Linked DNA regions of Solanum lycopersicum. The main gene of each other region encodes a partner of the protein of the gene in region 2 in a complex. Links are inferred from orthologs where the notes say so. Each region holds a gene or a part of one and is shown on either strand. Other genes may lie near its edges.

Region 1 (4,012 bases), about 9.3 Mb from region 2:
CATACGAGGTATGTGATTTACAATATAGGCTCGTGCAATATTAACATTTTAATATATATATTAATTTATAGTGCCTTCTACGTAGGAAATCATAATACAATCATGGAGAAAAGACATAAAGTTGTCACTGAATTTGTCACGTATTTTTATAAAGACCCTTGAACTTTGAAAGTGTCCTATCTCCCAACAAAACTTTTTAATATCTTTGTAAATGAGCCATTTTGACCCATTTCCTTGTTTGGGTTGTGACCACGCACATAAATCTGTGCTACAATGCTTTCACTGTCATTAACCAGCTTAAAAGTAACACATGTCGCTTTATTTCTTTATTATTAATTATTAATTTGTTTACCTTATCTTTCCCAAATTTAAACTCAAAATAGCCATTGATAGCCACTCTTTATGATTTCATTTTTTTTTCTCTAAAGCAAGATCAGATACACTCTTTTTGACAAATACATAATCTTCTCCTAAAGCAATAATGTAGGAATTCTTTCTCTTTAAATTTTCAATAAAATGGTTTTTTTGGGTGTATCACTAAAAGCATCAGATTCAATTTCATTACTAAAAACAATGAAGAATAAAAGTTTGAGAGTCCTCTCAAATGTTTAACTGAAAATACACTACTCAGGAGGACAATATAATTAAAAAAAGGCCGACATTAAAATTATTTATCAATCTTCAACAAAATTGTATTTCGAAAAAATGACGTACCAATTCAAAATACTTGATTGGAGAAATGATGGCGAGTTGAGGTCCAAGCTTCTCCTCTGCAGCTTTCTTTGCCTTAACTCTAAGTTTTTCCAACTGCTTTCTCCTCTCTCATATGCTGCCTGAGCTCTGTCTTTCCTCTTGTTCTCGAGTTCCTTGAAAGAAAAACAAGAAAATCTGAAAGAATTGGAAAGCTAACTAATAACCAAGGAAAAAAAACATTTTTCTACTTTATAAAAAAATTAGATTGGGCTAAACGGATCAAAAAAAATGAGCATCACGCGCAGTAATCAAGACAAGGAAATGAGTCAAAATGATTCATTTACAAAGATATTAAAATTTTTTATAGAGTGATATAACACTTTCAAAGATAAATTATCTTTATAAAAATATAAAACGAACTTCAGTAATAACTTTATGTTTTTTCTCTACACGTAAACAAGAAACAAGAAACATGTGTCGTGAAAAATGTTAGTATTTTTGTTATTTAGTATCCGGATATGAAAATCACCTTTAAGTAGCCCAAAGGCCCAATAACCAAAAGCCGAAACTATTTAATACATTGTAATTCCGATCACCCAGCGGGGAGTCGGTGACGGAGTAGAAGGAGAATCGACGACGAAAAAAACAGTGCGCTTCAATGGATACTTCTCAACTCAACGAAGCCTTGGCGTCCAGCTTCTACGACAAGATTGCTGATATTTGTGATGATCTCATGCTCCAGGCAATTTCTCCCTATTTTTTTCTCTTTATTTATCGTCTTTCTAGTGTAGTTCTTTCAGTCGATTTAAGAGTGAAACCTAATGTTTCTATTCGCTTTATTTGTATTCATAGGGTGCCGCTGAGGGAATCGAATTTCAAGATGAATGGCCGTACGCGATTCACCTTCTAGGTCATATTTACAGCAATGACATGTAATCTCTTATTTGCAACTTTACTTTGGAATTTTAGGGTTTTAAGTTGGATGATGTTAGGGAATTGATTTAGAATTACATTGTTATTGTTTTACTTTTGCAGTAATAGTGCGCGATTTCTGTGGAAGAAGATACCTGCAGCTGTAAAAGAAGCCCGACCAGAGGTGGTGGCTGTTTGGAGGATTGGGCAGAAACTTTGGACAAGGGACTATGTCGGTGTACATGAGGCTATTCGTGGATTCAGCTGGAGTCCTGAGATTCAGCCCTTTGTGGCTTCCTTTGCAGGCAAGTTTGTTTATCTTTATTCTCCATAGAACAAACGGTAGAGACTTAGTTGATCATCCTTTTTTGTTTAAAATTTGATTGGCTTCATTTAATTCTAGTCGTCTAATCAGTTCTGGTTAGAAGCTTTACATACTGTACTGTATAAGTCCTAGCAACAGCCCAAGATTTGTTTTTGCTTGTCCAATCCATAGGATTATAGGGTTCTGAATGATGAAGATGAAAGAACCCATTGAGTAGGTAAAACGTTGAATATGTGAACAACTAAGACATAGCATCTCTAAGTTATAGTGGTGCAAGAGGAGTGTCACCTCTCGTTTTGAAATAAAAAGGGAGAAGTTAAAGTGAGTGTTGAGATTTTTTACCATTGTCAAAAAATAAAAGTGTTGAGATTATATTTCGAAGGTTCTATCTAGTAAATTTATACTATAGTTGGCATTTGGAAGGAATTAAAATTCTTTTCTGTGCCTGTCAAAAGCATAGAAGGTTTTGCTGCTACAACTAAGAATTGTGACTTATAAGAAGTGCCACTTTGCCAAAGGAGTCTAGCCTCTCTTCTGGGTTAAGATAGAATGTGGATCAAGTAAAGGATTAACAACAAAATTGCCATTGTTGTGAATTAGTAGAATCTATGGATCTGCACAAATCACATAGTTGGGCTGCAGTCAAAGATTAGCTATTGGAGTTTGATAATGGCTTGAGACTACAATGATGTTCTCTGATCTTATCTTGAAGTCTAGTGCCCACTTTCAGGTAATCATCTTAAGTGGGCTGGTAGAATTGTTCTCTACAGGTCAATACATCTTGGTACAACATCAAAAAATTTGAAAATGATATGTTTTGTTAGCAAGGCCATTGGCTGTTTGGTATGAAATAGTCAGTATAAGCAATTATTTAGTATGGGTTTACTTAGGATGTATTTACTGGCGTGATCCCCTGAAAGGAGATCATAATGGTGATGCCTTTCCCAATCACAACGTGTCAATTTCGTTCCTGGTTGATGTCATGATTGTTGGATTGTTGGTTGCAGTATCATCTCCATGCTTGAATCTTGATATGTATGTACTTATTGACCTAGATAATTGTGGATAATGCTCCTATTATGTCTCCCCATCCTATTTTTCTTCGTTGTTGATTTTGCTGTGTGTTCTTTTTTTGTCAATTACTCCTTATATGAGTTGGACGAGCTTAATTGGTTCTTTGTTTTCCGCATGCGCAACTTTGACAAGGCGTTTTATTTACTAAAACAAGGACTGTATACTCTTTCTTTGTACACCATTTACTGATGGTGAATTAGTTGGAGTCTTGGGTTGTTTTAATTATTGGGTAACTCTCCAGATTCATTGAATTTATTATATACTTGACTTTGGGAAGATAGCTATTGAGGAAAAATATCTTTCCACATATAAAGGATAATTTGGCATGTAACTTTCTACTAATAAGACACACAGTAATACTAATTCCATCATATTGCTTTCATCCCACCTATATAAAAAACAAAACTATACTACTACATTTTGGTGAGAGGTCAAGGATTAAGTGATAAACTGATGTAGACATATACCAAAAAGATTAAGTGATTACTCAATCTATGTTGAAATGTTCTGTCTGGAGGATTGGTTATGGACCTGTGGTAGACAAAGCAGCATAAATGAAGTTGTTTTCAGACCATGCTGATGGAGAGGAGCGCAACAGAATTTTCAGCATGCTTAGTTCCGACTCTAGGATCTTCTGTTGTGGTTAGAAGTAAATTAGTTTAGTACTATTTTTGTGTTTTGTAATTCATGCAGCATTATATTTTTGTGACGTCAGGTGAAACTATACTTCACCAAATTATTATTTTCTTCTGCCATATTAATTGGGGCTGTATTTGTAAGAAAATAAAATGATTGTTAGCACATTATTGTAGGGGGTGGTGGTTACATATATCCTTAATTTAAGTTGGTTATTTGTTTAAATATTAGACCACATTGCTGGGGAAATGTCCGAATAGTTGCTAGCAATTTTTTAAGAAAAGCTTTTACACAAATCTGTGAAGGGAGCCATATAATGTAAACATAAACTTGAAGAAGTTCTTGTGCCCCATTGTTTTCTTTGTGGTTTTT
Region 2 (4,301 bases):
TGTATTGATGATTCACATGGTTTTCTACCATATGCAGTTCAATTTCATTGATTTTACTTAATTCTTAAGTTAAGAGAAGAAAAAAAGAAGACTTTTTTTCATTAGCACTTCTACTCAAAATATCAATCGTATCAAGGTGTTGAAATAACCAAATTCTTACTAGCAAAAAGATTATCATAACTTAAACTTGGAATGTGATATTACTTTATAAAAAGGCAATTGTGAATAAAAGTGATTACTGAGAAGGAATAAAAATTATATCATATTTGTAGTGTTATGTCTTATATACCTGAGCCAATAAGAAATAAAGAAATAAATTAATAAGCAAAATAGATGAGAAAATGGTTTTGAAGAATGTAATTCTATACGCTACTATTACTTGATACTATGGCCCCTATGTGGAACAAAAGTTCTATTCCAGTCTTGCTACGATCAAGAAATCCACATCAACCAAATAATTTGATTGATTTTGTAAGAAAATTTAGAATCAAACCAGTTCAAGAAGAACTATACCGCATAAAGTCCGAACAACTGAGGCTAAACCATGTCCTTATTAACTTCCCAGCCAACAATGAACTCATTTACGGAGAAACAAAACTTGAGAAGTTAATAACTTAATATTGATACCCTCATTTGCACTAACGCTCTATTAACAATTAGAAGAATCTTCAAGTTCTTATACATATGACCAAAAGCATATTCTATCTCAAAGAAATACCTCGAAATGATAGGGTACAAGTTCACAATATTATAAAATTTAAGGCATTTAATATGAAAGAATGGTAAATGAAGTATTGCAGATAAATTGACATAATGGCAATAAAAAGAACATTGTTGAAATCTCCAACCTGGAAAAGCGGATCCAATCAGCTACCCAGCCTACCCAACAAAAAAAATGTTTCTAAAATAATCAGATATAAAAAAAAATGTACGCTTACTTTTGTAGTCACTCCATGTTCCATGAGCAAACAAACGAAGCAAATCAAGGTATACTGAATTCTCAGTTCCTCCAAGCTGCATATAGGTCCAACAAAAAAAAACAATTAACCGCAAATATGAAAGGGATCCCAAAGTATATATACAGCAACATGGCAATATGGTGTTAACTACACAACTTGCAAAAAGTATATCAAGGTACAATTTTCAGGTGCTCCCAATAATCCTCTGCATTGAAACAAATGTTTTCTATGCCCATATTTTTCAAAAACTTACAGTTTGAGATTCAAATCTCACAATTAGATTTATGTTCCAGCAGAATCAACTATAATCTAAGTCTGTGATGCATAAATCTAACCTGAATCTTATGATTCAACAACCAACGTTGAATCACAGGTGCAATTTATAGTCAAGAAATACCACAATAAAGTGCCCACTTCAGATATGGTCTAACCTGACTGATCAAAAGCACTTCTTTTGCCCTTTATTCCCAGATGTCTACCTAATTGTCATAAAGGAACTCTAAAGAGAATCAAAACCGAGTATAAAACCCATTTCCTATGTAGCTCGGACTCTTCCAAACTGTCAATAGTGCATGTCGGATTCGCCAAAAGTAGTGTATTTTGGTGAATCCGACACGGATGCGGCATCAAAGTGAAGAGTCCGTGCAACTAAGCCCATTTCGATATGCTTAGGGTTTTGAGCTCTGAAGTTGATTGAATTGATAGGATGAACCCAAGTTATTTCCTCATTAATGATACTGTATCCCCTACGCTTCTATTACCTCTTTTAAAATCAATCAAATTGTAGTATCTTGATCCATTTTAGTTGTGTTTCCTGATATTCATTCCTTTTGTGTTTTGAAAATCATCTGGTACTTGATCATAAGATAAAATATTAACTTTTCATCTATTTATCCATGATCTAAAACATCTACATAGACTATTCAATATTTAACATACAGCCATATAAATGAGCAAGAGTTTGTAGCTCATCGGCAAAATATTGTTTTCATTAATCCATCCCAGTTTACTCAAAGCTTTCCTTTCTTAAGACATCCCCAACATTTTTCCTCGTACCACAAGACCAATTACTACGCCTAACGCAGGCACTTCCAATATGAGAGGAAAACCCACTAATCAAATTATCAGGAAATTCCATCAACAACAAAAACAACAAACCAAATGTAATCTCACAAGTGGTGTTTGATGTCCAGGTAGGGTAGAGTGTACGCGCAGACCTTATCCCTACCTTTGAGAAGGTAGAGAGGCTGTTTTCGAAAGACTCAACAAACAGATACCCAGAATGATATCATATTCCAGATATTGCCCAATCAATAGCATAAGTACATAACCACGACACAATGTTCAGGGTAAATACCTAGAAACCCAGTATAGGAAAAAACACACAAAATTACAAAAAAACAAATTAACGCAACACCTACTAACCCAATTATCATAAAAAAAAAAAAAAAACTTCAAACAAAATCAGAACAAGTGTAGAAATAGTAATATGAATGAATGGAAACCTCGAGAACACTGGGAACAGAAAGAATCTCTGAAAAAGCAAAGAGTGATGGATGCGAAGTGGCTTCAACAATAACAGTGGTAAGGGCAGAACCCTTGAGTGCTGATGCTTGTTTCACAAAGAAGTCGATGTGCTCCGCTTGCTTTTGTTCGATATCCATCTCTCTATGAATAATTAATAATCACAAGTAATCAGGGGTTCAATAACATTTATAGACAAAAGCAAAGAAAATTATTAGGGTTTCTGATTTCCGATTCAAAGATTTATCACAAAAACAAATAGAGAAGAGGGCTTTTTTAACTGTAAAATTTTGGAGTCCCACGGAGAAGAAGGGCGCTTGTCTGATTTGGTATGATGCTTTGAGCCCATCGCGGGTCCTTTTATACTTTTGATTTACTTTTAAGCTTCTTTCAATATTTTACAATAATAATTACTCCCTCCGTTTAAAAAAATAATAATAATTTAAAATAAAATTTCAAAAAAGGAATAATATATTTTAATTTTATGTAACTAAATTAAAGTTATGTCAAGTATATCAAAATACTTTTTAATTTTATATTCTTAAACATGTCATATCGTTAAAATGTTGCCAGAAAAGGAAAAATATCATTCTTTTTAAAATATACAAAAAAGAAAATAAGATCATTATAAGAAATATATACTAATTATTTTATATGTATATTAAATTTTAATAAATTTCAATAATAATATATTCAATATGATAACGTAGAGTGAATGTCATGTTAATCAAATCATGTATACTGAAGAAAGATTTTTGACATTGACATACTATTAATCTTAATGGCTTTGTCGTATGCTTTAGGTTGATTTCATGTCAATGTATTTAAATTTGAATATACCATTATTATATGATAACTTATCAATAAAATAGTATTTTGTATTTATACAATTAGATAGAGAGTTACTTAACAAGTAAGGGGTTGCATTTTACGAAAAATTCATCAAAGAGCTCTTAGCAAATGTGAGACAATCACTTCTTTCAATCTTTCTCGATCATAGATATTATTGTTTTTCACTTGACACCTTGATAATAATGAATAACTTGTATCATCTTTCCTCAAACTTTTATGATTTAATTTTATGTTTTTAATCATGTATGTTATGTCATTTTCAATCGTGGCATATTTCGGATGCTTGAAGGTCCCGCTGACACGAAGTGATTTAGAAATATTCTTCTTTTGTCGATGGTGATCGGTCATGGTATACACAACCTTGCTTTTTTTTCGTTCAAATCCTGATTTCGTTTTGCTTCTCCCGATCGTCGAGCCTGATCGATTTGACTCTTTTCCATGCCCCCGACCTCTCACTCTATTTCGTTCTACTTCTGTACCATTGCTTGAATAAAGACACCCGGCCGACCCGACTTTCCCAAATCCCCCCCCCCCGACCCTTCTCCTTTACGGGGTCTAGATTTTTCGCGTCGTTTCAATCGTCGTGGTCGACGGAGAAGAAAGAAATGAATGAATATTCTTTTGGGTTATATATATATTTTGAAAATAGTTGCAAGACAAAAACTGAAACCTTTCTTTTATTGTTGTTCCTCCCAGATACATGGCTTACATATGTGGCTCAACATTCTTGGAAAACAACCGAATCGAGGGTTCGGGAGCCTATAAAACGTTTGTTATGATATAAGGATCGTGCGCCTACCCGAATTGACTTCGCTATTGCTTCCGTGTAGGGGTCGATCCCAAAATAGGGATTTTTTTATGTGAAAGGAATTTTGAAGCGAGTATTATTTTATAATAAATCTGTAAATGTAAATTATAGTCAACTTGCTATTAACTAATTAAGCACAAATTATTACTTTAAATATA

The links.
Region 1: COP9 signalosome complex subunit 7 (region 2) and COP9 signalosome complex subunit 8 share a complex: the UniProt entries of both Arabidopsis thaliana proteins name them as parts of the CSN complex. The link is inferred for Solanum lycopersicum from reciprocal best matches to the Arabidopsis thaliana genes FUS5 and COP9.

The regions. Positions count from the first base shown.
Region 1 is NC_090800.1:89,068,584-89,072,595, forward strand, and holds the start of COP9 signalosome complex subunit 8, read left to right. Parts: upstream 1-1,212; 5' UTR 1,213-1,351; coding exon 1,352-1,435; intron 1,436-1,545; coding exon 1,546-1,625; intron 1,626-1,728; coding exon 1,729-1,910; intron 1,911-4,012. UniProt on the Arabidopsis thaliana protein: Component of the COP9 signalosome complex (CSN), a complex involved in various cellular and developmental processes such as photomorphogenesis and auxin and jasmonate responses.
Region 2 is NC_090800.1:79,720,439-79,724,739, reverse strand, and holds the start of COP9 signalosome complex subunit 7, read right to left. Parts: upstream 2,836-4,301; 5' UTR 2,624-2,835; coding exon 2,465-2,623; intron 1,015-2,464; coding exon 939-1,014; intron 1-938. UniProt on the Arabidopsis thaliana protein: Component of the COP9 signalosome complex (CSN), a complex involved in various cellular and developmental processes such as photomorphogenesis and auxin and jasmonate responses.